3 linked regions of the Callithrix jacchus genome follow. Each later gene encodes a partner of the first gene's protein in a complex. Links are inferred from orthologs where the notes say so. Each region holds a gene or a part of one and is shown in the gene's direction. Other genes may lie near its edges.

Region 1 (10,240 bases):
ACATTTCCTCTTTGCTAAGAGCTTTCTTTGCACTTAATCAGTTCCATTCTACTCACTCTCTAGTGTATGTGACCCTTATTTTTCCCGGTTGTGAGACAAGAACTTGGACCCAGCTGAGGTAAGGAACAGAAAGACCACAACACTAGTCTACTCATCCCAGTTTCAAACTATTATCAATACCAATTGAAAGAAATCGGCTGGGCATGGTGGTTCATGTCTGCAATCCCAGCATTTTGGGAGGCCAAGGCAGGTGGATCATTTGAGGTTGGGAGTTGGAGATCATCCTGGCCAATGTGGTGAAACCCCGTTTCTACTAAAAATATGAAACCTAGCTGGGCCTGGTGGTGGGCACCTGTAATTCCAGCTATTCAAGAGGCTGAGGCAAGAGAATCACTTGAATCTGGGAGGCAGAGGTTCAGTGAACCAAAATCACTTGCCACTGCACTCCAGCCTGGGTGACAGAGTGAGAGACTGTTTCCAAAAAAGCAAAAGCAAAAAAAAAAAAAGCAATCACAATTTTTCTTAGTCCCCAAATCTAAATATTTTTTCTTCAATAGGAATTGAGCAGAATCACGTCTCATTATAACCCCAAGATAATTTTTAAAAATCTGTTATAGTAACATATTTTAATAAATGTATGAGTTAATGTAAAAGATCTTGAGGCTGATGTTCTTAAAAGTTGACCAGTGATGTAGCCTTTTTTCTTGAGTCTGTGTACAGTAGGATTACTCAAGGTTTGTTGGCCTGGTAGCTAATAATGTTAATGCTAACTCTGGAAGTCCAGAAGGCATAGGTCAGGACACACAGTTGTTTGTGAATATTTACACTGATATTCAGGTTTTAAAAGAAATATATTATAAGTGGTTTTGGTTCAAATCAAGAGAATACTGAAAACAAAAAGTGCCACATCTTTTACTGAGCATCATCATTCATTCATTCCTTCATTCAGCCTACAATCTGTTTCCACTCCCTTCACTCCCATTCCTTCTCAATACCAGAATTAGCTTTTTTTTTTCTTTTTCTTTCTCATTTTTCTTTTTTTTGAAATGGAGTTTCACTCTTGTTACCCAGGCTGGAGTGCAATGGCGCGATCTCGGCTCACCGCAACCTCCCCCTCCTGAGTTCAAGCAATTCTCCTGCCTCAGCCTCCCAAGTAGCTGGGACTACAGGCGTGCACCTCGACGCCCAGCTAATTTTTGTATTTTTAGTAGAGACGGGGTTTCACCTTGTTTACCAGGATGGTCTTGATCTCTTGACCTCGTGATCCACCCGCCTTGGCCTCCCAAAGTGCTGGGATTATAGGCGTGAGCCACCGCGCCCCGCCAGAATTAGCTTTTAAAAACAACCACATGACTTAAAAACCCCAACTCACTTCTTGCAGCCCATGGGATAAAGTCCAAACTCCAGGTGCAACACATGAGGCCCTTCTCATACAGACTCAGTTTCATTTCATTCTCCAATTTCATTTTTTGTCCTGTCCCTACTACGTGCCATAATCTCTAACTTAGTACTTAAGTGAAATGTGAAGACCATCTGCTTCAGTATTAAAAATGCAGATCTGTAGGCCTACTCGGATCTACAAAATTAGAATCTTTGGGGGGTGGGATCCAGGAATCTGCATTTTAACAAGGCCCCCAGATATTCTTACCCATACTGAAGCTTGAGAGTCACTCACCTGTGTTGATACTCTCAGCACATTGGTATACCTTTGTGATAACTTCTCAAATAATTAAACGTATCAGGGCATACATCATAATTTTCAGGCTAGAAAATATCACTGCTATTATCTAAAGCAAGAGTTCTTCCCAAAGTGGAGGGTTTGATCTTCCCCTAGAAGAAACTGCATAGGTGTAGGAAAAAAAAAGACTGTAATTCCACTGACTCAGGGTGGAAGCAGAATAAAGCCTCGGACACTCCCATGTGTCTGTAAGAACTCCAATCCTTCTTTCATGGTGTGTTTCCAAGTGTCCTTTCCTCGTGTTTCACTAAGTATCTGCACTTCCACCATGAACTCAGGCAGCCTGGGATGTGAAGTACCTCTTACCTCTGGACTGCTGGGTTCCTCTTCCCAATTAAGACCCAATGCAAATGTCACCTCCTCCAGGACCGCCCCCCCCCCCCCGTAATTCTAGGTCATAATGTATCACTTCACCCCTTGCACTCCCATCCAACTTCACGTATGTGATTTTTCTCATGTATTTTGGAGGTAACTCAAACGTCCCCAAGTCCCACAGCCTGTGGGTGCAAATGCGGTCGTGTTAGTGCTAATACCTGATTATTTATCTTGGTATCCTTTTTGCCCCAGGAACTCCAGGGCTGTCTTCTTGTTGCTGTCTCCAAAGCTAACAACAAAATCCCTTCACACAAATCGTCCTTTGGCTACAGGCCTCAAGGTCCGTGCCATCTCGCTGTAACCCTTGTGGGGTTGGCGTGCCCAGACCCCTCCACTGCGCGTGCACCCCTCTCTGCTGACGGCCCGTGCTTTGAACCCCAGAGGTGTTAAATGGCTTGGGAACATAATTTTAAAACTGACAGTTGGATAAACACCAGAAAAAGCACCAAAAGATGACAGTGGAACCCAGGCTCGAGATGGGCCGGCTGACACTACTGGGCGCTGAACCTGGCTGGAAGCTTCCTGGCAGCGACACTGAAAAGGGAACACCTGTCTTGGGCGCCCTTGTTTCACTGACAGTCAGAAGTAGAGCAACTGTTAGACGCTCTCCACAAAAACCTGGACGCACTTCACATGTGCCCACCAGCAAGCTCAAGTACCCTGTGAAGCTGGGCGTCCGCCACCCCCAGGGCAGGCAGCCGAGGGGCTTTCAAGGGGGTAAAGCGAGCCTTGTGGGGCCAGCGCCCGTTCTCCCTCCTGCTGTCCGCGGGCACCCTGGCAAGCTGCGCCTCTGCTGCATTAGGGCGTCCTGCAGTTCCTGGGACAAGGGGGCGCTCGGCTTTCCGTCCTGCCCTCAGAAGGGAGAGGAGAGTCGGTCCTCGAGTGGAAGTCAGCTCAGGCTGCGGGCTGTGCAGCGCGCGGAGGTCCAGGAACCTCACCGCCCCCTCCCCGAGGCCCGCCCCGTCCTGGCCCTTACAACCCCTCCCTGCAACCCCCCGCGTGGGCTTCCGGCCACTGCGACCCCGGCCGGCGCTACCGCGCTCGCTCGTTCGCTGACAGCCGCCTCGAGGGCAGCGGGGCGGGGCATCGGCCCCGGGGGCGGGGCCTCCAGCTGGCGGGCGGGGTTTTGGCGCCGCGAGGTGGCGGCGGCAGAGCGGCGCAGAAGGGTGGGGGCGGCTGGCCGCGCGGAAGGAGTGAGTCACCTGACCGCTGCCCTCGCCGCCCGCCGGGTTCGCTCGCTGCAGTCAGTCGGGCAGCGCCGCGCCTCAGCTCTGGTGAGTGGCTCGGCCGTCCTGCCGGCCTTCTCCGGGAGGGTTAGCGCGGTCGGGGACGCGGGCCTGTGAGGGGAGGCCCGCGGGCAGGTCCGGGGGAGGCGCGGGCGGGCCGGGGGCGGCTCTTTCTGGGCTGGGCGGGGCGCGGGGGGGGGGTGCCTGCCGTCCGAGTCCTGGAAGTGGCCGTGACGCCGGAAGGGGCGTCCCGTCGGCGCTCGAACCTCCTTCCGCGGCCGGAGCTGTTGTTTACCCGCGCGCGCCGTACTTTACTCGGGGCGGGCGGGGGCCGGTGGCCTTGGGGTCCCTGCCTCACCCCCTCTCCCCGCCCTCGGGCGCCAGCCCGGCCCCTCGCCCGCGGCCCGCTCGGGCAGTGACACATCAGCACCGCCCTCGAGGCTGGGGCCCCGTATTGTCCTCCGTCACCTCCCACCGCTTGCCCAGCCTCGCGTTTCCCCAGCCTGGTGCCTGTCGCGCGTGCAGTCGCGTGAGAAAGGCCGAGTTTGGGGCAGGGGAGAGAAGGCCACCGTGTTGAGCTAGATTTACCGAAGACTGGCTTTGGGGACCGGAGATCCCAGGACTCCCTTTGTTGGAGTTTTGCCCACGCTTTGTAATTAAGCCTCGCACAATATGGTGAGAGTGGGCGTTGATTCTGGAGACACCAGCTTTGTGCTCGGGTAATGTAACACGAGTGCCGTTGCTCTCTCATTCTACACGGCTGTTGCATGTCATTGAGTAGAATTGTGCGGAATGCTTTTATGGAGTGAGGCTTCTGCGTAAAATGTGTGCTGATTCCAGGTAAAGTGTAGTAGTAATTGTGAAAGAACGTGTATGGGAAGAACAAGCTACAATGTCATGCTTGGAGGAACAAAGACTGTTTTTGTTTTTGTAGGGTGCTGTGCTTTTTGAAGAATTATCTAGGTGTAGGGACTGTTGCCCATGGAGGATGCTATGGGAATTTGTTCATATATTTGAACCCTCTTTACATCCCAGAGGGTTTGCATTGAAGGCAATTCAGAAGGATAAAGGGTGGAAATCCCAGTGTGTTAGTGGCACAGCGCTTGAGCGCTTCACGTAGTCAAGCAGAGAAATGGGAAGAGGCCGGCTTCCTTCCTGGTCTTTGGGTAGTGGTGCAAGGGCTGGGCTGGGCTAGAAGGCACTTGCCACTTCTGCCTTTGGACATCTTAAAGTAGCCCAGGGAAAAAAAGGTTCCTGGTGAGTCAGCTTGGAGTAGAGTAGCTTTGGTGTACTGATTCTTGTATTGTTTTTTAACCCATGGTTCTGTCAAGTGGTTTACTATTGTTGAGTATGTTGGTTGGTTAACAAGGTAGGATGACTCTAAAAAAGTTGGGTTGCTGAGTCATTCGCCCCAGCTTGAGAGGTAATTGGAAACAGCTGGTGCAGATTCTCTAATCACATGCCTCCACTATAACAGGCCAAGAAGCGCTCTAGAGGGGTTGCTTCAGAAGGCTGAAGGGGACCCAGCTGGGTTGTTTTGATACAGGTATTCAGTGAAGTGGAAGAGCACTCTTAGGCAGTGGCCAGTAGCACTGAGGTGGTGTTTAAACACAGAGCCTTGTTAGCTGAAGTCTGAGAATAAATTTGCACTGGAGAGAGCCAAAACTTGGGAAGAAATTGGCAGCTAGGAGTAATCCAATAAACAGTATTGTAACAAAAATATTTACTACTCTTACTGGACTGAATTTCCTTTTTGTGGTTTTGTTATGTGGTCTATAAGTTTCAAGCAGTGAGCCTAATTTGTGCTTCACTACACAGAGCGGAGTTGCTCTGTTTTTCATGGCCCTTGGCTTTTTATGCATACACAAAAAATTTCAGGAGTCAGAGGAGGGTAAGCGCAATATGGGTGGAATTAACAGGTTGTATCGGGTCAAGTCTGGAAAGAGCTGTTTAATGAATGGCCAACCATATATACCTGTCTCATTGTCTTGATTGTATGACACTACTGTCTTTACACCTTGTGTCATTGCTTCTTGCTTTAAAAAGGAGCACACAACCCACACACAGTTTAGGAATGGGAAATGTAGAGCTGGGAATTTGGCCCTTACCTTTGGTGAAAAAAATGATTTCTACTAATGGTAGTTCATTTAAAACATTTTGTATTGGGAAAAACTATTTATTTTGTTACTTTAAGTCTGGGACTAGAGGAGATTAGAAATCATGAATTTTTTAAGTATTAGTGCCTCTAAGGTGGGGTGCAGGGGAGGTTCACTTGGAAATAATATATTAAAACTTTTAAAATGTCTTTTAAGAAAGACATTAAGCTTGAAGATACATTATGTGCATATTATATAATGTGTGTACATGAGCCCACTTCTTTTTTATTGGGGAGCATAGTCCATTCATCACCGTCAGTAACATTTTTTCAACAACTAGAATGCTTTTTCTTTTATGGTTTCCTCCTAAGAGTTCTTTCAAAATGTTCTTAATTATTCCATTTAAGTTTTATAGGTCTATTCTCTGTGCATTTTACTTTAAAGATTAGAAGCTTGAGTATAAACTTCTTGTTACATTGTGGATATTGGGGATGGAAATACAAAAAATACAAAATTTCATTTGATAACCTCTATATTGAATTTGGAGACAAGCTCACAGTTGGTTTGTTTAAATGTACTTGATCTGAAGTGCAGTGATATGTAAAAAGGTGCAATGGAACACTTGAAGATAATCTACACATTGGAGTGTAATATGTATATCGCAAATTTTGTGAAAATTACTTTGTACTGTTACTCCTTGAAGTCTTCTTTTTTTTTTCCCCCAAGCTTACACCCACTTCATGAAGATGGTAAGTGGCATTTATTCAGAATATCAATTTCCTACTAGTGGTGGTGGTGGGGGGATGAGGGTGGTTAGTATTTATCATTCAGTTGAATCTCATGTGCCATGTGCCTTCTACACACCTGTACTGTGAGAGATGATGTTCAGAATAATAATTGCAAAGCCCTTTAAAATTACCGCTTGTCAGAGCCTCTCTTTATAGTGCTGATCTCTCCATAACTTATGTTTTAGGAATCACCACTTCCCTCCTAATTTTCTGACTAATGTTCTGTTAATGAGAGAATTGTCTTACCCCTAAAACCTGCATTTCCTGAGCATTCTAAACAGAGGGTTTATTTTATGTGGTGGAGTGCTGATTTTTGAGATTGTTTTGATTTAAAGTATATGTCAAATGGGGTGATGTACTGATGTCCAAAGTATGGGCAATATGAACGCAATTCGCCAGAATCCAGGCCCGTTGGAGAGAGTAAAAATTTCAGGACTGCAGATAAAATATTGACTTACACTACCCCGAAGCCCGGGCATCTGGCTTGTGCAGTGCACTAACAACTGAAGTCGTGGGTTTGATCGCTGTTTAGTTGACAAAGAAGCAGTAAGCAGAATGGTTAAAAGTAGATTCGGAGCCAGACTGCTTAAGGTCAGGTTCTGGTTGTGTCACCCACTTTGAAGCCTTGGGCAAGCTCTTCTTCCTGGTAACTAGTGCCTCATTGTTTCCTCTGTAAAACAGGGATGGTGATAGTAATATCTGTATCAGAGAGATTGTTGTGAGGATTAAATGCGTTAATACAGGTTAAGTGGTTAGAACAGTGCCAGCTTTATAAGAAACATCAATAAATGTGAGATGTTATTATCTGTTGTTCAGAATCAGGGAAGTACTTAGTTACACAGCAATGTTTTATAGCTGCTGAGGGCTGAATTGCAGTCATTAATCACAAATGAGACTGAGGAGTGCAGCAGGTTGCTGCTACTGGAAAAACAACTTTGGGAACACTCTTATGTTAAGGCAGTAGCACCACATCTCAAACATACACCCAACTTCTGAGGACAAGGAACACAGGACATAGCTTTTTACTTAAAGAAATCTAGCAGTTTCAGCGGAATGCTTGAGATGGTCACTAACCAGTTAATTGAAACACTTGCCGTCCTTTGCCTAGTTTGTTCCACGTTGTAGTTGAAGACATTGTGGCCTGGCAGCTTTGGTAACCTGTCCACCCCTCCCTGCTTAATACCAGGACAGAACTAGTTTCTCAGTACATATTCCTGGGTACATATTCAATGTTTGTTGGAAACATTTGGAATGTAAATTTGTTTGCCAGTTAGTTGCTTCTAATTATTTTGTTTTCTTTAGATGATATGTCTATAATAATATAGAAAAATTATCCATGAAATGGATATGAATACAGTGGATATGTTTCTCATATAGCTTCTGGTACCTGTTAGTAATTCAGAACGGTCGTGTTATTTTGACCATTCTCTCAACCACAGTGTAAGTTTCCTGATGGTGAGAATCTGTGTCTTTCTGTTTGGCTGTGTTTCTTTAATAAACTGTTGGTTGCTGGACTAGGTGGTATGATATGGGTTCATTCTAGTTCTGTGGTTTTGAAACTTGGGAATGTTTAACAGATTAGAGGAGAGAACATTGTGTGTTGTACCTTGTAAGTCTGCACTGAGTTGAAATTCTTTTGATTATTTAGCTTTCTACTTTCTGTTTTTATCATTGGTATAAGTATTGAGGAAGCAGCTGGAATTAAGTCATTCTAGTTCATCTCCTAAGATAGACATAAAACTTGTGACTTATTTTTACTCATAATTGGCTTAGAATTGAGTTGAACAAAATATAATTTGGTTTTCTAGATAAAAATGTCTTATATGTCTAATACTTTGAATGTCATCACTCCTCTAGAACAGATTCTTTGTTTAGGATCAGGGACAGGTTAGAAAAGTGCCCCAAAGCAAACATGAGGAAGAAGAAATAGTGGTAGCCAGAACCTTGGTTGTTGATGACCATTGTATGAGCATATGCAGTGAAATTGTCTGGCAGCTGGTTCCTTTCTCAGTACCTACACAATTTAGAAAATGTTACGTTAATGTAGCTGAAATTGTTTGCAGGTCATGTTACTTGGAAGATAAATGTAAATGCTTTTCTAAATGCCTTAGGAAAGTCGTTAGTTCAAACTAACATTTTTGTAATAAACTATTCCCAGTTTCTTTCTTTTTTTTTGAGATGGAGTCTCACTGTGTTGCTCAGTGCAGGGGGCATGATCTCAAGTTCACTGCAGTGTCTGTCTCTTGGTTAAGCAAGTCTCTTGCCCCAGCTTCCCTAGTGGCTGGGATTACAGGCCCCCCCACCCCACGCCCAGCGAATTTTTGTATTTTAGTAGAGACAGGTTTCACCATGTTGGCCAGCCTGGTCTTGAACTCTTGACCTTAAGCAGCCTCCCAGAGTGCTGGGATTACAGGTGTGAGGTTCTGCACCTGGCCCCTAATTATTCCCAGTTTCTATCAGGTAAAGTTATTTTCACTTTTTAAATTTATGGTTTTTTAGATCAGATCAGTCATAGTGGATAGTTGCACTCCACTTCCCCATCCCTCATTAAAGTGGAATTAGACTAAAAAATTATTTCAATTCCTTTGTAGCCTGGACATTAGTAATAGCCTACCTCCAGGGCTATAGATTAATATAGTAAGGGTAATGTCCCTCCCTCCCCCTACACACCTTTTTTCCAGTTATCTCTTCTTATTATTGACTTGTCTGCCTCCAGGACCTTAGGGAGGTGTTTTTGTTTCAAGGAGGTGAACTTCTCAGGTTCCTATTGAAGAAATAGGGAGACCTATCCACCCAACTTCCTGTTTACTGATATCTTCATATGCTTAATGCCTTATGTTTTCTAAAGTGGACCAGTGTCTTTTGGAAGTCAGCTAAATTAGTGCAGTTGCTTGTCCAACAGACAGTTTGTTATAAAATGTGTGGCTATAAAAGATTGAATAAATTTATTAGGTTGTAATTTCATTAACATATATTTTATATTTAAACGTTATTTTAAAAAACGTACAGTGGTTATCTAATCTTGGCCCAGCCTGCTTTAATTTCCAATGTACCTTATGTCTCTCTCTCTTTTTTCCTCAACACTTTATTATGTAATTTATATATATATATATATATGTATGTGTGTGTGTGTGTGTGTATTTTTATTGCATTTTAGGTAATGGGGTACATGTAAAGAACATGCAGGATTGTTGCATAGGTACATACATGGCAATGTGGTTTGCTGCCTCCATCGCCATCACCTGTACCTGGCATTTCTCCTCATGTTATCCCTCCCCAACTCCCTACTGCCCACTGTCCCTACCGTAGTCCCCCCCAACAGACCTCAGTGTGTGATGCTCCCCTCCTTGTGACCATCTGTTCTCATTGTTCAACACATGCCCATGAGTGAGTTTGATTTTCCGTTCCCGTGCCAGTTTGCTGAGAATGATGGTTTCCAGGTTCATCCATGTCCCTACAAAGGACACAAACTCATTATTTTTTATGGCTGCATAGCGTTCCATGGTGTATATATGCCACATTTTCCCTGTACAGTCTATCATCGATGGGCATTTGGGTTGGTTTCAAGTCTTTGCTGTTGTAAACAGTGCTGCCAGAACATAGGTGTGCATGTGTCCTTATAATAGAATGATTTACAATCTTTTGGATATATACCCAGTAATGGGATTGCTGGGTCAATGGAATTTTGCCAAACTAAGCTTCAAAAGGGAAGGTGGCGATTCCTGATGTCTCTTTAACGACTGTTTTTCTTAGGTATATTCTCAGCATGGCTCTGGGTACTCCCCTAGATCGGAGTCATCATTCAGGTTAAAAGAGGTAAGAAAACAAAAGCTTTTGACTCTTGTAATCTTTCTTTTTTCTTCACATTAGCAAAAGACTGACGTAGAAAGCATTTTGCCCAGCTGACTCAGTTCTTTGTTGGCATGCATTCAGTTTCAGTTGTCATCCAGAGAAGTCGAAGGAAATGCTACTTGGGGATGAACGTGTAATTACGATTAAATTTACCTATTTGTTTTC
Region 2 (10,118 bases), on another chromosome or scaffold:
AGTTCACTTGATTATGTGGATAATATGCCTTTATTTATTTATTTGATTCTTTTTGAGACAGTGTCTCTCTAACTCTGTCACCCAGGCTCTGGAGTGCAGTGGTACAAGATCATGGCTCACTGTGGCCTGGACCTCCCAGGCTCAAGCAACCCTTCCACCACAGCCACCAGATTAGCTAGCACTACAGGTATAAGCCACCATGTCTGGCTAATTTTTAAATTTTTTGTAAAGATAGGGTCTCCTTATGTTGCCCAAGTTGGTCTTGAACTCCTGGACTTAAGTGATCCTCCTGTCTCAGCCTCCAAAAATCTCCCTTTAAAATTCAGTTAATTGACAAATTGAGGTACTGGCAATTTGAGAGTAAACAAAGTAGGAATTAATTCTGATGGGTATGATAGTCAACTAACACAGAAATACCACAGCTGCAGACTATGGTAACTGCTGTGAAGAAAATGAACAGGGCAGTATGACAGAGTAACTAGTGAAGAACTCTCATGACGGGAGATGATATCAGGGCTGATATCATCTAGAAACTCAGAATGAATCAGTTAAGAGCTGAGCTGAGGGAAGAACAGGCCAGGAAACAGCTGAACTTTCATATCATGTCTGAAACAAATTATTCAGGAGTATAGATTGTCCTCCTGAAGAAAATTCTCTGGAAACCTGTTTTCACTATCATCTTTGGCCTTGAGTGTTTTAGCAAAAACACAATATAGAATTAAATTTACTGAACACCTGGGTGTTCCACGATTTCCAGATGCACAAGACAATGTCTTCTGCCCTCAGAGTGCCTTTCTAGGCCACCCATCACACTTACCACAATTATTGGGATCAACGGCACAAGAACTTTGTTCTCCTTGACAAATGGTGCTATTGGATGTTTTAGCTATTTACCACAACCACCATTACCCAACTTCAAGCTTGAAAACTTTTTACACAGGCTGTCTTTTTATAGGAAAATGTGAATTTCAAAGTGAGTATAATCTATGTTAGCAAAGAAGAAAGAAAAATGTTTTTTACGTGTTTTGTAACATTTTAAATTTATATACTGGTTTTCAGTATGAATCTCAGTATGTCACAACTCAAATCTACCCTAGGTTGGGATACTATTCAAATACGTAACTATTTTACATTACAGAATCCATTATTTCATCACAGTAAGTTATTCATTGAAGTAAGTCATAAGAACATAAAATTTGGGTGTTCATTTTCTCCCTATATCCATCATTCCCTTCCCTCTATCCGGTTCAGAAAGAATTCATTAAATCCTGACAACTCCCATCAGAAATGTTTCTCAATAACAACCTTATTTCATTATTCTCAGAATGTCTAAGTTCCTATTTTCTTTTTTAAGTTTCACTCTTGTGGCCCAGGCTGTAGTGCAATGGTGCGATATAGGCTCACTGCAACCCCCACCTCTGGGGTTCAAGCGATTCTCCTGCCTCAGCCTCCTGAGTGGCTGGGATTACAGGCATGCATCACTGCACCCAGCCAATTTTTGTATTTTCAGCTGTGTGGGGTTTCACCATGTTGGTCAGGCTGTATCGAATTCCTAACCTCAGGTGATCTGCCCACTTCATCCTCCCAAAGTGCTGGGATTACAGGGGTGAACCACCATGCCTGGCCCTAAATTCATACTTTTAAGGCCTTGTCACTAACCTTTTGATCAACTTTAACTGGTCTTCCTTCCAAGAGCTTGCTTCTTCCCTAGTCCATCTTCTACATAGTAGCCTGATTATCTTCCTGAATACTGAACAAAATTCCTGTCCTCATGGAGCCTATGGTATAATGGAACAAACCAAAAATTTTTTGAAACGTGACAATGAGTTACAAAAAAAATAACAACAGGGTAAGAGGAAAGGGTAAAGGAGGGAGTCACTTTAGATAGGCTGGTGACATCTGATTATAATAAATGCTAATGCCCTTCAGCTAAAAAGCAGCAGGAAAACACCTAGAGTCAAATGAAGCTGGGTTTAATGACTCGTTGCAAGGGGTGGGGGTGGGGGTGGGGGGCACTCTCCGTAAGTGGGTATTGGTATTGTGAAAAACATTTCAGCTTGGGTTAGGTGATTTTGGGGAAGTGTCAAGGTTTTGCTCTGGATTGAATGCTGGCAGGAAACAGGTAATCCTGTAATTGAATATTTTAATATTTGTTATCTAGAAGGCAGGAAGAATGGAGCAAGACTAAGGTTGTAATTGGTCAAGAAGCGGTGGTGACTTATATTAACCAGAATGTTTGGTCATCTTTGTAGTTTAGAGACTGTGCTTCTATTTGGTGTGTTTAGACATGATTATGAAGGGGTCTTATTTTTGTCTTGTCTGTTACAGTCACAGAGAGACGATAACCGATATTGACGTTTTGTGAGATTGTTTATATTTGATAAAACACTCAGAACTAAGAATGCCAAGACAGCTGCCAGTACCACAAATACACAGCTAATAGTGCCAGTACAGCTCCAAGCTGTCCAGGGTTGGTTCCCACTGCAACCCAGCTCCCTCTGTCCCCCAACAAGCAAAGCTATCAGCTGTTACATTTGTCCCTATAATTGCAATTTATGACTCTTATTCATAATTTTGTATCTTTAACATTTACAATAGTATTACTATTATTTAGGGTACTGAGTTCCAAAACTCATTGTGGCTCTCCTGATAATAGTAGAGAACTAGTGGTATGATGATGGTGGGTGATGAGAACAGACATGCAAAATATCTTAACTAAAAAAAACAGGTATTATTTGTCTGCAGAGTCCAATAGGTAGACCAAAGACAATCTGCTTGTGGCTAAATGGTTTAGAAATTGGGAGTAAGAAAACGAATACTGTAAATTTTGTCAACGACTTCAGAAGTCCCAGAGTCAGTTGCTTCATCTCTAAAAACACGAAGCTGAAGTTGGATGGTGTGTGTAGTTCTGATATATTTGCATGGTGCCAGGCTGTCTGTACAGAAATCATATAGGGAGCTTGTTATAAGCAGGTAGAGATTCAAGGGCCTCATCTCCAGAAAGTAATAATCATCCTAAGTTTTTGAGACTCATCCATGTTTTTTTCTTTTGTTGCTGAGTTGTATCTAATTAGATGAATATATTGCCTTATTAATGATGGACATTTTTGGTGACCACGAATAAAGTTGTTAGGGATATTTTTGTACAAGTCTTCTTATTGATATATGCTTTTATTTCTCTGGATAAATACCTAGATGTGGGACTGCTGGCTCATAGGGCAGATGTGCATTTAACTTATATGAAATAGATAGGTCACATTTTTTTAAATCAAACTGGGACTCACTATGCTACTCAAAATGGAGTATAGTTGCTATTCACATGCATAACCATAACAAACTGGGTTCAAGCAATCCTCATCCCTCAGCCTCCCCTGCTGCAGCTTGAATGATGGGTAGCACTACAACTGGTTCTGACAGGTTCACATTTTTGACATAAAGCAACAAAACATTTTATAATACTCTTGCCTTTGGTCAAAGTGCAGCCTAGTAGAGATGTCAAAGGATCTGTTATAAGGCCTCAAGCACTGCCCTGGGGCCCAGGAAGATACCCTACAGGCAAATGGAAGAAAGTTATGTGGATTTTATCTGTAGGTAAATGTAGTTCAGGCAATGCATTTGATAATATGTAGGTGAAACCTTTTGACAAATATATCGCCTCCAGGGTTCTTGGAATTCCACATCACTGTCATTAGGCTCTGAAAAATGGATACCTGAACATGACAGACTTAAGACTAAAGTCATTTCTGACAGAGGACAGAATTAACAAATATTTGATAGCATGTTTGAGTGGAGGCTGGGTGGGGCTGGCCACTGTTAACTCTCAAGTTATCCTTAGCAGATTTTTTTTTAAACACCTGACACTTCCACCCTTCGGCAGGTAAACAAACTCTATCTAAAGGAAAATGGAACCTAAAGAAAGAACTCTTTCACCTTCCTGTTAGAAACATCCATCTTGCCTTCTTGATAGCCTTGGTCTCTCATAAGTTGCCAAGCAATATTTCCTATAACAAGTTTAACTCCCATTGTCAAAAAAAAAAAAAAAAAAAAAACCATACATCTATCTGTATCCATCCTTTATTCACCTCTCCTCATTCTCTGTAATCACAATCAAGAAAAGCATCCTTCCTAAGTACTCTTCATTCCACCTTCTCCCCTTATTTCTCTCATTAGAGTGGCTCATTCCCATCGGTATTTGCCTCCTCCAATTTTTCCCTCGTGAAAGTTAACCTCGATATTGTTAAACCTTCTAAAGGATTGCCGGCACAGCTATTTACTCTTTCTAACCGGGATCACCAAGGTTTGTCATACAGCAGGCACTGCACCTTCATCTTTAAAATACGTAATATATGACTAGACAGGATTCCGAGGGTGCAGATAATGAAGCTATCTACAGCTTGTAGCCTGGGTGTTGCATGGCTCACTGGATGAGGAAACTGCTTATCCTTCAGCTGTATATGGGTAATTTGATATATGCTTTCATTCTGAAATAAAGTTGTGGAAAGGAAGTAGTACGCAACAAGTACGAAAACAAGTGGGGAAACAGTGGTGCGGTACAACCAATTAACCCCTCACACGACTTGGGTGCGCATCACCCAGGAGCCGCGCATCTGCCACTCCGCTCGCCGAGCGGTCAGGGCTCGCACAGGCCCTTCCGGCGGAACCCGCCTAGTGGATTCGAAGAGGCCTCAGTTTCCGAGTCGGGAGTAGTGATGGGGGTGGAAGGTGAGGGGAAAAGCCAAGGGGCTCCCGGCCAATGGCAGCTCTTGAACTTACACCTCCGGACGTCAGCGCGGCTGTGTAAACGGATGTCACACAGCAGGCTCGGAAGTGTCTCCTCCCGCCTCAGAAACGTGGCGCACGCCCAGCAGGCTCGGAAAAAACCTTAGGCGGCGGGAGGGAGGGGCGTGCGCCGCACCTCGTGAGCCCAGAGTCCCGAGCCCTCGCCGGCCGGCCTCCTCCCCGCAGTGTCTCTGTGGCAGCCGTCCCGGTTGAGCAGCTGGGCGCCGGCGTCCTAGCCACAAGCGCGCCGCCGCAACTGGCTCCGCCCCTGCCGGAATGGGCCGCGCGCTCCTGCGGCTCTCAGCAGAGTCGCGGGCGCGCGCGCCGCCGGCAGAGCCGCAGTTAAAATGGTCCGAGCGGGTACCGGCGTTGCCCCCGCTGCCGCGCTGACTGACTGAGCCGGCTGACCGGGCCCGACTGGTCGCCTAGCCGGCAGGCTCGCTCGCTCCCTCCCTCCCTCGCGTCCCTAAAGCTCGCTCCCATCGTTCTCCCGGCTTCTCTGGGCAAAGCATGTAGCCCCCTTCGGGCACTCCGGCGGCCCGCGGCTAACGCCCACCCCCCTACCGTCGCGTGTGTGCCCGTGTGTGCGTGTGTGTGCGCAGAGCGGGCGACCCCGCTGCGGGCCGGAGGCCGAGCCAGCGAGCGGCCTGCCCCGCTGCCGGGAGCTCGCCTCTCTGGGCCTCCCTCCCTCCCGTCCTGGTGCCCCTCCTCGGGGCCTTCTATATGGGCCACCTTCTCTCGAAGGAGCCGCGTAACCGCCCGAGCCAGAAGAGGCCTCGCTGTTGCAGTTGGTGCCGCCGCCGGCGCCCTCTCCTCAGGCTGCCCCGCCGGACCCCAGCCAAGGTGCCCCCTCAGCCGGCGGCGCCCCGGAGCCGGGACTGCTTCTTCCGCGGGCCCTGCATGCTTTGCTTCATCGTGCACAGTCCCGGCGCGCCCGCCCCCGCCGGCCCAGAGGAGGAGCCGCCGTTCTCGCCGCCGCCGCCGCCGCGGGACGGGGCCTACGCTGCCGCCGCCTCCTCTTCTCAGCACCTGGCGCGGCGCTACGCGGCCCTGGCCGCCGAGGACTGCGCCGCAGCCGCCCGCCGCTTCCTGCTATCCTCGGCCGCCGCAGCCGCCGCCGCTGCTGCCTCGGCTTCGTCGCCCGCCTCTTGCTGCAAAGAGCTGGGGCTGGCTGCGGCCGCCGCCTGGGAGCAGCAGGGCCGAAGCCTTTTCCTGGCCAGCTTGGGGCCGGTGCGTTTCCTGGGGCCGCCCGCCGCTGTGCAGCTCTTCCGGGGGCCGCCGCCGCCGGCCGAGCCCCTTACGCCCCTCGAAATGGTGTGCAAGCGGAAGGGGGCCGGGGTCCCCGCCTGCACCCCCTGCAAGCAGCCCCGCTGTGGCGGCGGGGGTTGCGGCGGCGGTGGCGGCGGCGGCGGCGGTGGGGGAGGGCCTGCCGGGGGAGGCGCCTCGCCGCCCAGACCCCCCGACGCCGGCTGCTGCCAGGGTCCGGAGCAGCCCCAGCAGCCGCTCTGCCCCCCGCCCTCTTCTCCCACTTCCGAAGGTGCTCCCACCGAGGCTGGCGGGGACGTTGTCCGAGTCGGGGGCACCGCCCCCTCGTCCGCCCAGCAGCAGCGTGAATGTGGCGACGCGGACTGTCTGGAGCCCCCCGAAAACCCCTGCGACTGTCACAGGGAGCCGCCCCCCGAAACCCCAGACATCAACCAGCTGCCGCCGTCCATCCTGCTCAAGGTGGGTCTGGGCGAGAGGCGCAGGGATGCTCGTTTTCCCCCACCCCGGGCCCCCGCCTCCGAGGCTTTCTCTCTCCTCCCCCTAAGCGCGGAGGAGGGGGGGTTCCCTGACAGCCGAGGGACGTCCGAACCGGAGACTGGGAAGCCAGTGGGTCCTCTGCCTGTGGCCTATTTTTTGAAGTATAAGCACTTGGAGTCTACTGAATGTCTTCATAGCTTGACTCTATAACCCACCCTTCAGGGTTCAGCTATTATTAGAATCCCAACCCAGTGTTTTAGAAACTTCGCAGGCATTCTGTGGGGGGCGGGGGGGAGGGAATTTGTTTTTAATCAATTGAGGAATTTATAGTTAGTGGGTAAAGGCTTTGCATATCAGTGTTTGGAAGTGTTCAGACGTTACTTTCAGGTTTAATGGCTGGTAGTTAATGTCAAACAGTTAACTTTTATTGAGCATTTACCATAATCAGGCACTGCGCTAGAGCTTTATATATACAGTATCCCACTTATTTATCCAGTTAACGCTGCGAGATAAATATATTGTTAATATATTTATTTTATACAAGAAGAAACTGATTTCTCCGTGCCGTGGAGCAGGGTTTTTACAGTAGTGAGTCAGGAAGAAGTGGTCTTAGCGCCTATGGAGCTGACAGTCTAGTGGGGCTTGAACTGGTTGAATGACTTGTGCAAGGTCACATACAGAAAGTAAAGGGCAGATCCAGGTCTTGAACGAGGTAATTTAAGACTACTTGATTTAAAAATTCCTTTGTTTACTATGTGGTAATGCCCTCCTACATTTTAACCCTTACGTAAAAGCATACAGATTACCAGAGGTAGCACAGATGTATTTTTTTGTTGGGAGACCAGTGAGTAGAGGTAGGTGTCCTGGATGAAATTTGTGTCATTTTCAACTACCATATTTTGCAGTTTTGTCAATGCTAGTGACAACCTTAGTTATGTAATAGAGTTTTTATTAAGTTATTATTAACTTTTTTCCTCTTTTTCTGCCGTCTCTCACCCCACCCTTTCTGGGGCTTAATAAATATAAACTATTTTCATTGTGGATGATACTAGAGACTAGCCATAGATAACCTTGTTAAGAATTTGGCTACTTTTAATATTACTGAAGTAACTTTAATTACAATTGTTATTGTCACCAACATGGTTTATTTGATTAGACTTTTTGCATATTTACAGTACTGTGTGTTTGGGTCTGTTTTACTGTGGTACTAATGTTCTTGTGAATGATACAGCAAGAGAGTGGGAAAACTTACATTTCCTTGTGTCAAGATGTAATAATCTAATTCTTATGGTGGTATACTTGTTGGAAGAGTAATTGCTTACTCTTTGTGTGCAGAGGAGCATTTTAGGACAAAGGGAACTTTCTTGAGTCCTTTAAATCACTGGATGATATGGGTAAATAAAATACCAACAAATTTTTGGTGTAGAAGTTTGATTGCTGCCTTCTTGACGAGTAAGACTGTTTCGGAATGAACCAGAACAAAGCCAGGTACCTTCTACTTAAAACGTTATTTCATGAAGTAAAAAAAACATTTTAATATCAAGAAAAAAAAAAAGGAAGGACGTCTCATAATAAGGAGAAACTCTAATAGAATAAAATAAATTTATTCTATGAATTCTGCATTGTTCTTTTTCATATTTTTCCCTGTGGGTGGTTGAAAAGTTTGTCTAAAGGACATTTGGGAATTACATGGGCTTACCCTTTTGTGTGTATTTGGACATGTTTTGTAGATTTCCATTTTTTGTATTGGAAAACTCTAATAAAGATTCTCTGTCTGAGTCTCATGGTCCTAGTGGTATTCAGCACGAAGTGAGTTGTACTATCTGGGATGAATTGAATTAGAGATTGTTCAGTGTCTGCCAACCCCAGTTTTTGGGGGTAGAGACTCAGGATTCATATCTTGTTCATTGCTTTCTCCTCCTTTAAGTGCAGTGCTTGGCATATAGTAGCACTCAGTAAATACTTAAGAACAAATGTATGCTTAGGTGTTTAGAGTCTGTGCTGAAACTCGGGGTGATATGCCACACTACGAAGAGACATTTCTAGGGAATGTCCATATTCTTACTAGAGTTTGAGCCACAGTAGAGCCTTGTGGTGGTGAAAGGGTTTTGGCTCTGCTTCTGTTAAAGACTGGAGTTGTTTGACTTGGAGAAAGGAAGACTTAAGGAGCTATGACAATTATTTTTTTCTGATATTAGAAGAGTTGTTGCATGAAGAGGCACAAGTCCATCATCACTATTGGAAAACATTCTCTGAAATTATGCCCTGTTTTGGTAGTGGGTCCATAGCTATTATAATTGTATTGCTTTTATAGCTGTAAAAAAAAAAAAAAAAATGAGGCAGGTAGAATTTGGGAGAGAAATGTGAGGATGTTTAAAAATTAAAAAGATGTTTCTGAGGAAAGCTACCGTGCTTGCCCAGTGGTGTTTTTTATTTTTTTAAATTTTTTTGGTATGGCAGAGGAGAAAAACTAAACTGTGTTATATCAGAGGCCGATTTGTGGCTCAATGTCAACAAGAATCTTTCTCCTCTATATAGGTTAATAAATATGATGTGCTTTAAAACAGTCAAAAATGCATTTTAATATAATAGTTTCTTTCAAAAGTTGTTTAGCTTTGGCAGAATATCCTATTTTATGCTTATTACCCACATCTTAAATTTCTTCACTTGGATAAACAAAACAAATCTGGATTTAGTCAATGATCTTTGGTTTATGACAGCCGTCTCACTTTTTTAAAAAAGGAAACTAACCTTCAAAGAAGATAATAGCATGTTTAAAACAAGATGCTACTTGGTTCCAGTGACCATGCCTATGTGTTGATTGTTAACTGACAAATTAGCCCTTCAAGACCATTTAGTCCTTTAACCTTAAAAAATGATCTAGGCCCCCTAAGTTTTTATTTTCTCATGTGTCAGATAAGGAGGATGAGCATAAAAATATCCACAAGAAATTTACTTTGACCTGTGCCTGCTTGAAGAGTTTGGTGAATATTTTCCACACACAAAGAAGTATAAAACTGGCAAAATTGCCCAAAACTATTTGAACTCTGGAAATCAACTAAAAGCAAGGAAAAAAATTGAGAAACATTTATTCTTAGGAAAACTGTTAGAGCTTCAGGTAAGAATAGCCCAAGTCTACAGCATTCTTGCATGGGCCCCTACTATGACCTCTTGCCCCAGCACCTTTGGCAAAAAGTGTAGTTTGGAAAACCAGCAGCTTTGCTGTCAGAGAGCTGATTCAATTTGGGGCAATGAGTAAAAACCTTTGTCGATAAAATATAGTGAACTTGGTAGGGAAAAACAAGGAGAAACCATATATTTTCTAGTTTAAGGTTGTAGTGTCAGTTGGGATGAGTGGAAGACTAGCTATAAATTAAAAGGCTGACCCTGGAAATGAGAGAACCATAAAGGGATAATCTCTACATATCCCGTCATATTGTGAAACTGTGCACATGTGTAGGGGATACCTGAGGTTGTCTAACTGAGAGCAAGGTTCAAGGCAGATAAGAATTCTCTAAGCTTTGAATGTGCCCTTCTTAACCCAAACACAGATTGAAGAGCAGGCTCAAGCTGTTTGAGCATATCTTTGGCATATA
Region 3 (10,332 bases), on another chromosome or scaffold:
TGTTAACAATCCAAGTGTAAGTTTAATTTTTACAGTAGGTCATGTGTGGTTGTTCACACCTGCAATTGCAGCACTTTGGGAGGCAGAGGCGGGTGGATCACCTAAGGTCAGGAGTTCTAGACCAGACTGACGAACATGGTAAAAACCCGTCTCTACTAAAAAAAAAAAAAAAAAAAAAAAAAAAGATTAGCCAGGCATGGTGGTGCATGCCTGTAATCCCAGCTACTTGGGCGGCTGAGGCAGGAGAATTGCTTGATCTGGGAGACAGAGGTTGCAGTGAGCCAAGATTGAGCCATTGCACTCTAGCCTAGGCAACAGAGCAGAACACTGTTTAAAACAAATTTACAGCATATTTAAACATCAAAATTATGAAAAGAGACTGTAGCTAATCTTATTACATGCCAGTTCTTCTGATTGGTTTAAGAATTAAAGTATTTTAACTTTTTTTTTTCATTCTATTTCAGGCTGGTACACCCCTCCAAAGGAAGATGGCTAAATACGTTGACTGTTACATGTCTGGACCAATGTTGCTTTAAAGAAAATCTTTCCAACATGCAGACACAAGCTTTGAGTGCCCCTATTGCAGCAGTACCGAAGACGTTAGTTAATAGATATTTTAGTGGATAATCTGGAAGCTGACATCCAGTAAAAGTTAATAGCCTTTGCATTTTGCTCATTTTAGATATCTTGGACTGAGCAGTGGGGACTTTACTGTATTTTTCCTGATAAATACACATACTGGTCACTCCTTATCATCTCTTTTTCTTGAAAAGTGAACTTTTTAAAGCAGTCAAGTCACCATCAGGCTACTGAAGTCGTGGCTTTAGGGTAACTTTTCTATATTAAGTCCGTGGGTTATAGGATTTGCAATTTATTGTTCCATTTAGAGCCAATACAAGTTTAATCAATGTTCAATATTGGTTTTTGAAAATTTAAGGCCTTCTAAAATCATAGTAGCTCTTTCATGTTTAAAACCATTTTATGATAATGCCAAAATAATGACAGGAAACCTCATTAAATTGTTAAACTTTTTATTGACTATGTGAAGATATGAATTGTTCCCTGAAGATAAAATCTTAATTGAGTTATATTGTACTTTTTAGGCAAAGCAGTTAAAACTATGTTAATTAAGGCTTGTGAGTAGTGGTTTCCACTGGGGCTTCAGAGTCTTGCTGGGCTGAATATGCTGCTTGTTGGTTCAGCGTTTCTTATGAAGAAGAGCCACAGGATAGAGCTGAAAGTTATTTAAAATACTGAGTCATCTTTTGTTTCCATTTTATTAACGGGATGTTGCAATCATTTGTAAATTAATAAACTTATAAAGTGATTGGCACAAAGACTCCTTGAGGAAAAGCTGCACAGTTAAGTACAAAAAGATACTTCATTTGGAGATTCTTAGAATAATTTTCACCATAGTCATAAAAATGGCTTTTACACTGAAAGATTAATAGAAACTTTACATATGGTAATTTTTTTTATAGAACCTGACTCAAAGCAAGGTACTCTCCATTTTATTGCCTTACCTGAATCAGTCCTTTTTTGGTTGGTAATAGTTATTTTTAAACACTCAAATTTGATTTAAAAGTAAATTCTAGCTATTAAGCACTTTTAACAAGAAATTCAGAAGCACATTTTTCTGCACAAACCAGTTACAAAGTTCAAAAGTGTTTTCTTATGCATTTGCTTTGAGATTCAGTTTTTTTTAACTTTGTAAACGACATCCAAGAGACTTGGCACTTCTACATTATAGGTGTGTTTAATTTCTTTTGATTCTATTTTGGTTAAGAGGGCAATAAATAGATTTTCTGGTGTCTTTTTCACTTGGTTACATTTGTATGAAGTTCTGAGTGCCAGTTGCTCAGATAACAAGTGACAAGGCAGAATTCTTTAAAGCATTAAAGTTCCTTAAACCTAAGGCTAAATCTTGAATACATTATTGAATTCTTTAATATCTTGATGGCAAGCAGATTGATAGCTGCACATTTGGCATGCTTTGTTTTATGGATTTTATTTTTAATTGCAGATTTTATTTGGCAATCTACAGTAAATTTTGTAAACTTGCATCAAGTTTATGAATAAAGAACTATTTAAACATTTTGTTTGTGCTGATCATAGCAAGCAAAAAAGTACTTTGTCATTTTTCCCACATAAAAAAACTGCTTGATGTGTTTGTAGGCTCTCTTGAGTTTCTGGACTAAGATATTTAAGGAGGGAAGGGGTAAGAGGAGGCTTGGAAGACAGGTGGATTTTTTTTTTTTTTTTTTTTTTTTGAGACGGAGTTTTGCTCTTGTTACCCAGGCTGGAGTGCAATGGCGCGATCTCGGCTCGGCGCGATCTCAGCTCACCGCAACCTCCGCCTCCTGGGTTCAGGCAATTCTCCTGCCTTAGCCTCCTGAGTAGCTGGGATTACAGGCATGCGCCACCATGCCCAGCTAATTTTTTGTATTTTTAGTAGAGACGGGGTTTCACCATGTTGACCAGGATGGTCTCGATCTCTTGACCTCGTGATCCACCCGCCTCGGCCTCCCAAAGTGCTGGGATTACAGGCATAAGCCACTGTGCCCGGCTAAGACAGGCAGATTTAACAAGAGAAAGTGAAAGAACCTAGAAATGGTCTGTACACACTTGGTATAGTCACCTTTTCCTCAGCCTTTTTTTCTCTTCCATTCTCATTACAAATTCAAGTGCTACTTTTTCCTTATGACTATCCCTAGTTCCCACAGTTACAATAATCTGCTCCTCCTCTAGTGTACCCATGGCCTCCTTGCACACAATTGACAGGTTATTTCACATACAAGAAGTCCAGAGGTAGGACAACTCCAGGTAACTGTACATATGGGTTTTGCTCTGCTTCCTTGAGATTTTTTTCTATGTTGGTTTCATCTTTTGGTGGCATATATGCAGCCACATTACTTGATCCAGAGACAGATAATGCCTGCCTTTTAGTATCTCCTTAGGAGGTGAGGAAATCTCTAAAAGCACCATCCCATCAAGCACACTGCCTCTCACTTTTCCTTGGTTAGATCAGGGGCCTGCGCCTACCCCCAAACCAATGGCTGGTGAAAAGAATGAAACCATCATGATTAGTTGCACAAATGGTTCTTAAAGTGTGATTTGGTGGGGAACACTGGAGACCCCTGAGACAATTTTAAGTTTTAAAAGACTATTTTCATAATATTAAAACATTTGCTATTTTCACTCATTCCTTCACGAGTGTACAATGGAGTTTTCCAGAGGCTACGTGATGTAATTTTGCAACAGACTGAATTCAGAAGCAAACAAGAGAATCTACCTGTCTTAAGACAGAAGGAACTATAAACTGTCCTCTTTCCCTACTTTACATCAGCCACAAAGAAAGAATGTCTACTCAGAATGGCAATCGGGTTTCATTCAGTAGCCAGAGAATGGAGAAGGGGAGCTAACCCTCTAAAGGCACCTTTTTCCAGAAGGATGGGAGGCGGGGGAGTTGAAAGAGTTGGCCTAGCGGGGGGCGAGGGGGGCGGTGGTATGAAGGGCATGCGCAGGCTGGAGTTGCAGACAAGCAGGCCCAGTCCCTGAACATGCTGCTAAGATGCCAGTGATCTTCCTTCAGGGGAGAGGATTTCAGCATTATAATGTTAATGATCCAAAGGTAACTGGAGGTTGCCTGTTTATCTTCTGGTATTTGGCAAGGGGTCAGGAAGCTTTGGTGATAACTAGGCCACCTGGCTTCCTTAAGTAGCTGTGCCTATAGACTTAAAAAAAACTGGCTGGGCTTGGTGGCTCATACCTGGAATCCCAACGCTTTGGGAGGTGGAGGCAGAGGGATATTTTGAGGCCAGGAGTTAGAGACCAGCCTGGGCAACAGAGAGAACTTTCTCTATGTCTACCAAAAAAAAAAAAAAAAAAAAAAAGCCACAGCTGTTCAAGAGGCTTATACCAGTGACAGTGTCACCCTATTTACCAGTTGCGGGGGGAAGGAAGATTTGGGAAATAGTTGAATTCCACAAAAATATTTTGTTAAGGGGTAACATGTTTTTTAAAAGTATTAAGATGATTTAATTTTTTTAATATGGTAAATATTGATAATCGTAACACAAAACTATTTGGTCGTGTGGATATTTTAGGCGTAAAGGGTCCTGAGGCAATAATGAGAACCGCTAATTTAGACCAAGTTTCTACTCAAGTTCTGGCGATCAAATCAGGGCTCCCTTAGGAAGGAATTGGAGGGAGAAATGGATGTTCGGTGGGGACGCACCCGTGTCTGCTGTGCTTCCATATCTTCTGTGGTTCTCAGTTTGAGCATGCATTAGAATCGCTATAAAGTTTGTTAAAACATAGATTGCTGGACCTCACCCCCAGTGTCTGATTCAGGAGGTCGGGGTTAAGGACTGGGAACGTGCCAAAACTTAATAGTTCCCAGGTGAATCAGATGTTACTGGCGGGGAACTGGTGCACAGCTTGGGGCGTGCTTCACTGCAATTATCTTACTTAACTTCCTTAGAATGGCAGGTGCTATTTATGCCATTTTACTCATTCAAAACTTTAAACCTGAAGATGACAACGAGTTAATTAAGTTTACAAGGAATAAAGGCAGTGATTTTCACACACTAAGACAATTTTTTAAAAGCAAACGCTGTCAGTTCAAAAATTGAGTTTATGCTATTTAAACAGGCTTTGGGGTAAGTACTACCTAGTCCCTGCAAGGAATCTGTGAATTAGAGAAAGATGTAGGCTCAGAAATATGGCGGTGCCGGGGAAGTGAGAGGCACAGAGAAAGAATTTATCTTCACTGCAGGAAGCCTCCTAGAAAGTTGCCCAGCACCGTGGCTCATTCATGCCTGTAATTGCAACATCTTGGGAGGCGCAGGCGGGAGGATCGCTTGAGCCCTGGAGTTTGAGACCACCCTGGTAAGCACAGCGAAACCCGTCTCTACAAAAAATACAAAAATTAGCTGGGCATGGTGGCGGGAGTCTGTAGTCCAAGTTACGAGGGAGACTGAGCCAGGAGGCTCGCTTGAGCCTGGGAGGTAGAAGCTACAGTGAGCAGAGGCCGCGCCACTCCACTCCCGCCTTGCCACAGCGAGACCCAATCTTAATGAAAAAAAAAAAAAAAAATTTCGGGCGTATTATGGGACGGATAACTTCAACTTCAGAGCAAGGGCTCCAGGACCTGCACCGGAAACACGGTGGCCAGGGGTCGCACCCGCGTTGCCACTCCCACCTTCTCCGTCAGGCGGAAGTGGTGCGGGCGCCTGCTCAGTGCGCGCCGGCCGGGCAATCGTGTGCCGGCGAAACTGGGTCCCTCCGAGCCGCCGTAGGACTGGTTCCGGCGGGCTGGTGAGGAATGGAGCCGGTGGGTGGCTGCGGCGACAGCTGCGGCTCCTCCTCGGTAGACCCACGGAGCACCTTCGTGTTGAGTAACCTGGCGGAGGTGGTGGAGCGTGTGCTCACCTTCCTACCCGCCAAGGCATTGCTGCGGGTGGCCTGGTGAGGAGGGGAGGCGGGAAGCTTGCATCGGGACACGCTGTGGGCATATCCCAGGCTGGCGGGGTGGGGAGAGACCCTGGGGACCCAGGACCACCCCCGGCTCCTTCGCCCTAACTGAGGTGACCTCCACCCGCGAGGTATCTTCCAGCTGTAGAGCCCCCGGGACTTCCCTGAGGAGTGAAGTTCCCCTTAAGGTTTTCTCCACAACTGACCAGCGCCCTGATACCTACTTCCCCCGGGGGCTTCGGTTCCCGCAGAGATCTCTTGCTGCTGCGCCTGCAGGTGGGGGTTTGTGAGCCGTGGGAGAGACGAAAATGAACGTCCATTCGCGATCTTTTGTGCGTTTGCGTCCCCAGCGTGTGCCGCTTATGGAGAGAGTGTGTGCGCCGAGTGTTGCGGACCCATCGGAGCTTGACCTGGATCTCCGCAGGCCTGGCGGATGCCGGCCACCTGGAGAGGCATTGCTTGGTTCGCGTGGTAGCCGAGGAGCTTGAGGCAAGTAGCAAGGGGTGTCATGCACAGTCAATTGCAGGTTGGTGGTTCAGTCTTTGAGAACTATTTTTTTTTTTAATCCCAGTTTTGTTAATTCAAGGAACATCTCGTGCCGTGAAAAAAATTTGTGAACATTAGTTTTAGTGACTACACTGTAAGAATGTGTCATGATTTATTTGACCGTTCATCAAATGTTGTGCCTTATAATCCACATTTTCCATTGTTTCCGTTGTTTCCATTAACAACAACGATGTGCAGAACCTTATCTCCACCTGCTTCCCTTGAAGCAAGTTTTTGTTGTGTCTGTTTTACTGGGAAGGCAACTGGGTGTGTTTTGCTCAGTGTAGCACACCTAGAAAGCCAAGAACCAAAACTTAAAGCCAAATATTTCAACTCCCGATCCTGTACTCTTTGGCTTCTCTGGCCCCCAACTTCAAAAGGGGAGCCAATACCTGGAGAGGTAAAGACTCGGACTGTGGAGTCAGAGGGGCTGCAGGGTGTACCATCTCTCTGAGGAGTGGGAGGGCGCCATTTGACAGTGAAGTGCCAATCTGATGCTCTGTCATTCTTTTTAGTTTCCTGCGGCTTACAAACATAGCCACGGTGCAGCCGTCATAATCAGGAAATTATCACTGATAGACTTCGTCTGTTTTATCCTCAGACTCGGTTCAGGTTTTGCCAGTTGTCTCAGTAAGGTTCTTCATGGCAAAAAAGGTCTGTTCTCAATTGCAAGTTGCTCTAAATAAGTCATGTTTCTTTAATCTCCTTTGATCTGGAACAGTTTCTCAAGCTTTGCTTGATTTTTCCCAAGCCTGACACTTAGGAAAATTACAGGCTATTTTGTAGAACATCCATCAGTTGGCAGTGTGTGAGGTTTCTTACTAGGTTGTGTTTCTTACTAGGTTTGGCAGGAAATAATCACAGAAGTCATGCTGTGCTCTTTTCACGGCATCCTTTAGGTGGCATGTGATTTCCATTTGTCTCTTTATTGGTGATACAACCTTTGATTACTCGATTAAGGTTGTACCGGCCAAGTCTCTTCACTAAAATCACTTCTGTAATGATTAAGTGTTTTTTGAAGAGATAATTTGAAACTATGTAAGTGTCGTGTTTCCTATTCGTTTATTTATATCTGTACACACTCTCCAAGTCTTATTTCAGTGGGATATAATCTGTTACTGTGAGTATTTATTTTAGTGTTCAGTTTACCCCGGACCCCCAACGCCAGTTTGGCTAGGGGGAGCTCCTTCAGGCTGACCTCATTGTCTTTAGAGATGACTCCTTTATCTTTGACCACTTGTCTGGCACAAGGTGTTCTAAGCTTGTCTTGGGTTTTACCTGCTTGGGTCCTGGCATTGGCCATTTGTCCATGAAACCCTGGCTCCTTTTGATAGAGTGTGATATTTAGCAATCAAGATCTAGATTCTCTAAATGTACTCCTTGCCATTGAAGGATTTGCTGCTCCAAAGCTCAGTCATTAGAGCCAAGGAATATATGTATATACATGCATATGTGTGTATATAATCAGCATATATGTATACACATGTGTACAACTATATTTCTGTGTGGAAACTCATGAGTTCACACAGGTGCAACCTTTCGAATCAAACGCAGGATGCTTTCTAGTTTTGTCTCTGCTCGTATCTGTATCTCCCTTTGGGCAATGGGAAACCTGGTTCTCATCATTCTTAATGTATTTAGGTATTACATCAATGCCCCATACGTAACCAATCTTCTGTTTCCCCCTTCCTTGGGTGGTCTTTCTCCTTACCCTGTTTGGGCTCTGGAACTCTCATCCCAGGGAGCTGGCCAGTATCCAAAGGCAGGCTTGTTAGAAAACTTTTCTTCTCTGGCACTTTGTCCCAACTCTTGCCATCTCTTTCCAGAAGTTTATCATTTGGAAAAATTAAAAGTACAGGCAGACTTTTCCTCAAAAATATTCTCTGGAGCATCATTTATAATAAGAGATACTAAAAAGCTAATGTTAATGTAATGACGTTATTAAATTATAAACTGCAAGTACATTCATGACGAGAAAATGTTGATTTTAAAAGTGAAAAGACTGGGAAATTACATATTTAGTATCATCTGCATTGTTAAAGACAAAAAAGAGAGTAGAAAAGAAAGCCAGAATGTTAGCTTTTGTTTCTATTTAATGTTTTAAAAACTTTTCTCTCCGTTGTCATCGTTTTCAGATTTTTACCCCAGCAGGCATTATTTTCCTGTAGGTTTAAGAGTTTATACATTGTAGTGGCTGTATAGCCGGACAGACTTAGCTGTGAACCCTAGCTTTGGTGTACAGTGGGATGACTTTGAAAACGCTACTTAACCTCTCTGAGCCTCGGGTGCCATCTCCATAAAATGAAAAGAAAAATAATAATTTTCCTGTGCTCTTATAGAGTTGTTGTAAGGATTCAATAATGAAAATGTAATGCATATGACACATTACCTATAGTACAGGGAGTATAAGTGCTCAATAGAGGTCTATTAAATACTTTTATTAGTATCATTATTAAACTTCACAGAGTTCAGTAATGCCCTTAGAGGAGTGCTGCATTGTAGTAAACTGCTGGTGAGACAAACACACGAAAACTCTGCTTAAATCACACTTACTGATTGTGTTTTCCAAGTTATCTAGTGGACAATGGGTACGTTTATAGCCATAAAGAAAGTTGATTTAACTTTTCTATTAAAAATATTTTAAGTCCACTGGGCACAGTGACTCACACCTGAAATCGCAACACTTTGGAAAGCTGAGGCAGGCAGATCACTTGAAGTCAGGAGTTTGAGACCAGCCTGGCCAACATGGTGAAACCCTGTCTCCACTAAAAATATTAATATAAATATTTAAAATATTAAAATATTGAAAAAATATTAAATATATAAATAAAAATATTAAACTACAAAAATATGGGTGTGGTGGTGCAAGTCCACCAAAAGCTTTATAAAACAGCTTGCCATTTGTAACTTCTTTGAACAGTGAAATGTGGTGCTAGCTTTCTTACACTGTGCTTTGAGAACATTTCATATTGAGGCTTGTTATGTCACTGCTTCTAGTGTGAATTAGGAAGGAAAATTCAGCAATTGCTTTTCAGTGGCTGCTAGAAAGGGAAACTCATAAAATCTCAGGACCAGACTTTTAATCAGGAATAGGAAACCTGAGGCCTAAAAGTTTGATGCGGGTTATTTTCCCAGTTTGTGGCCACTGTGACCTAAGACCTAAATCTGGGTGTGTGTGTGTATGTGTTTTGAGACTTTCTCACTCTGTTGCCCAGGCTGGAGTGTGGTGGCCCAATCTCACTGCAACCTCCACCTCCCAGGTTCAAGTGATTTTTCTGCCTCAGCCTCCTGAGTAGCTGGGACTACAGGCATGTGCCACCACACTTGATTAATTTTTGTATTTTTAGTAGAGATGGGGTTTCACCATGTTGGCCAGGCTGGTCTCAAACTCCTGACCTCAGGTGATCTGCTGACCTCAGCTTTCCAAAGTGCTGGTATTAACAGGCATGAGCCACTGGACCTGGCCCCTAAATCTCTTGAGTTCTGTTTCCTTTCCTCATTATACCAGGCATCACAGACTCAGATGACTCGAAGGTCAGGCAGGTAGCTGAAGAGGGTCGGGTAGCTTAACAGAGTGGTAGCACCATGGCAGACTGGAAAGGCTTGCTTCTGTTTAGCCTTAGTTAAGAGGCACATAGTCTAAGTGTTGCCATTGTGTCCAATTTTTAAAAAGAATCTGGAAATCCACATTTATGTAAAAAATATTTTGGAATTTGAACGTTAGCATTCAGTTTATGTTTTTTGAAAATGCTGTGTGGACCAAGGAAACCATATCCGTAGATCTTGGGCAGCCCTGGGCCCTACAGGTTATCATCCTGTCCCTTTTATTAGTTTATATAGAATGTATTCTATATATCCAAACATCTTGGCATTCCCCCAAATTATAATGGACCAACTTTTTTTTTTTCCATTTAACCAATAGTGAGGCTTTGCTATATCCTAAGTACTATATTTTATTTGGTAGTAAAAAAATTTTGAAAATAGCTAGCTTAGAAAAATATCTTCATCCTTTTCATTTAATTCAGCTACTTTGCCACTTGTTTTTAATTGGAAAGTTCAGTTGAAAACAGGTGAGTCTGAATAAGCCCAGCTCATAGGGAAGATAGGGCACAAATAAGATTAACTGCGGGTAAGGGATGTTGCATCTGAGGTCCAGAATACTGGGGGAGTTTAGGGAAAGGTTTTGGAGAGGAGGTGGCGCTTAAGGTGTCTCTAGAGGGAAACAGTCTTAAGTTCCACAGGAAGAGAGCAACAGGAGATTATATGGGGAAGTAGGTGTGTCTGGGTAATGTTAACAGTAAGCTAAGGGGC

What was found. Proteins that work in one complex are often made in the same cells at the same time.
Region 2: the proteins of BACH1 (region 1) and FBXL17 are in contact, whole or in part, in a cryo-EM structure (PDB 8UAH), measured with the Homo sapiens proteins. The link is inferred for Callithrix jacchus from reciprocal best matches to the Homo sapiens genes BACH1 and FBXL17. Residues at the interface, in NP_001177.1 of Homo sapiens: Val20, Leu21, Ser23, Leu24, Gln27, Val32, Leu33, Asp35, Phe39, His48, Arg49, Ser50, Val51, Ala53, Ala54, Cys55, Ser56, Ser57, His60, Ser61, Arg62, Val64, Asn72, Thr74, Pro76, His116, Asn117; in NP_001156787.2 of Homo sapiens: Asp395, Arg421, Asn447, Gln473, Gln498, Glu499, Met524, Arg548, Cys574, Leu575, Tyr598, Val600, Ser601, Asp623, Trp626, Met651, Arg652, Val676, Gln678, Asp679, Cys680, Arg682, Thr683, Glu685, Gln689, Trp692.
Region 3: the proteins of BACH1 (region 1) and FBXO22 are in contact, whole or in part, in a cryo-EM structure (PDB 8S7D), measured with the Homo sapiens proteins. The link is inferred for Callithrix jacchus from reciprocal best matches to the Homo sapiens genes BACH1 and FBXO22. Residues at the interface, in NP_001177.1 of Homo sapiens: Ser7, Val8, Phe9, Ala10, Tyr11, Glu12, Ser13, Ser14, Val15; in NP_671717.1 of Homo sapiens: Asp366, Gly371, Asn372, Phe373, Ile374, Leu375, Arg376, Lys377, Cys378.

Annotation. Positions count from the first base shown.
Region 1 is NC_133522.1:35,357,737-35,367,976, forward strand, and holds the start of BACH1 (transcription regulator protein BACH1), read left to right. Parts: upstream 1-3,330; 5' UTR 3,331-4,058; exon of another isoform or gene 4,059-4,179; intron 4,180-6,161; 5' UTR 6,162-6,184; intron 6,185-9,976; exon of another isoform or gene 9,977-10,039; intron 10,040-10,240. UniProt on the Homo sapiens protein: Transcriptional regulator that acts as a repressor or activator, depending on the context. Binds to NF-E2 DNA binding sites. Plays important roles in coordinating transcription activation and repression by MAFK.
Region 2 is NC_133503.1:101,700,763-101,710,880, forward strand, and holds the start of FBXL17 (F-box/LRR-repeat protein 17), read left to right. Parts: upstream 1-5,084; 5' UTR 5,085-5,502; coding exon 5,503-6,504; intron 6,505-10,118. UniProt on the Homo sapiens protein: Substrate-recognition component of the SCF(FBXL17) E3 ubiquitin ligase complex, a key component of a quality control pathway required to ensure functional dimerization of BTB domain-containing proteins (dimerization quality control, DQC).
Region 3 is NC_133509.1:25,092,301-25,102,632, reverse strand, and holds the start of FBXO22 (F-box only protein 22), read left to right. Parts: upstream 1-5,298; 5' UTR 5,299-5,326; coding exon 5,327-5,469; intron 5,470-5,825; coding exon 5,826-5,964; intron 5,965-10,332. Other genes in the region: UBE2Q2 (ubiquitin-conjugating enzyme E2 Q2), read left to right, coding at 465-496. UniProt on the Homo sapiens protein: Substrate-recognition component of the SCF (SKP1-CUL1-F-box protein)-type E3 ubiquitin ligase complex that is implicated in the control of various cellular processes such as cell cycle control, transcriptional regulation, DNA damage repair, and apoptosis.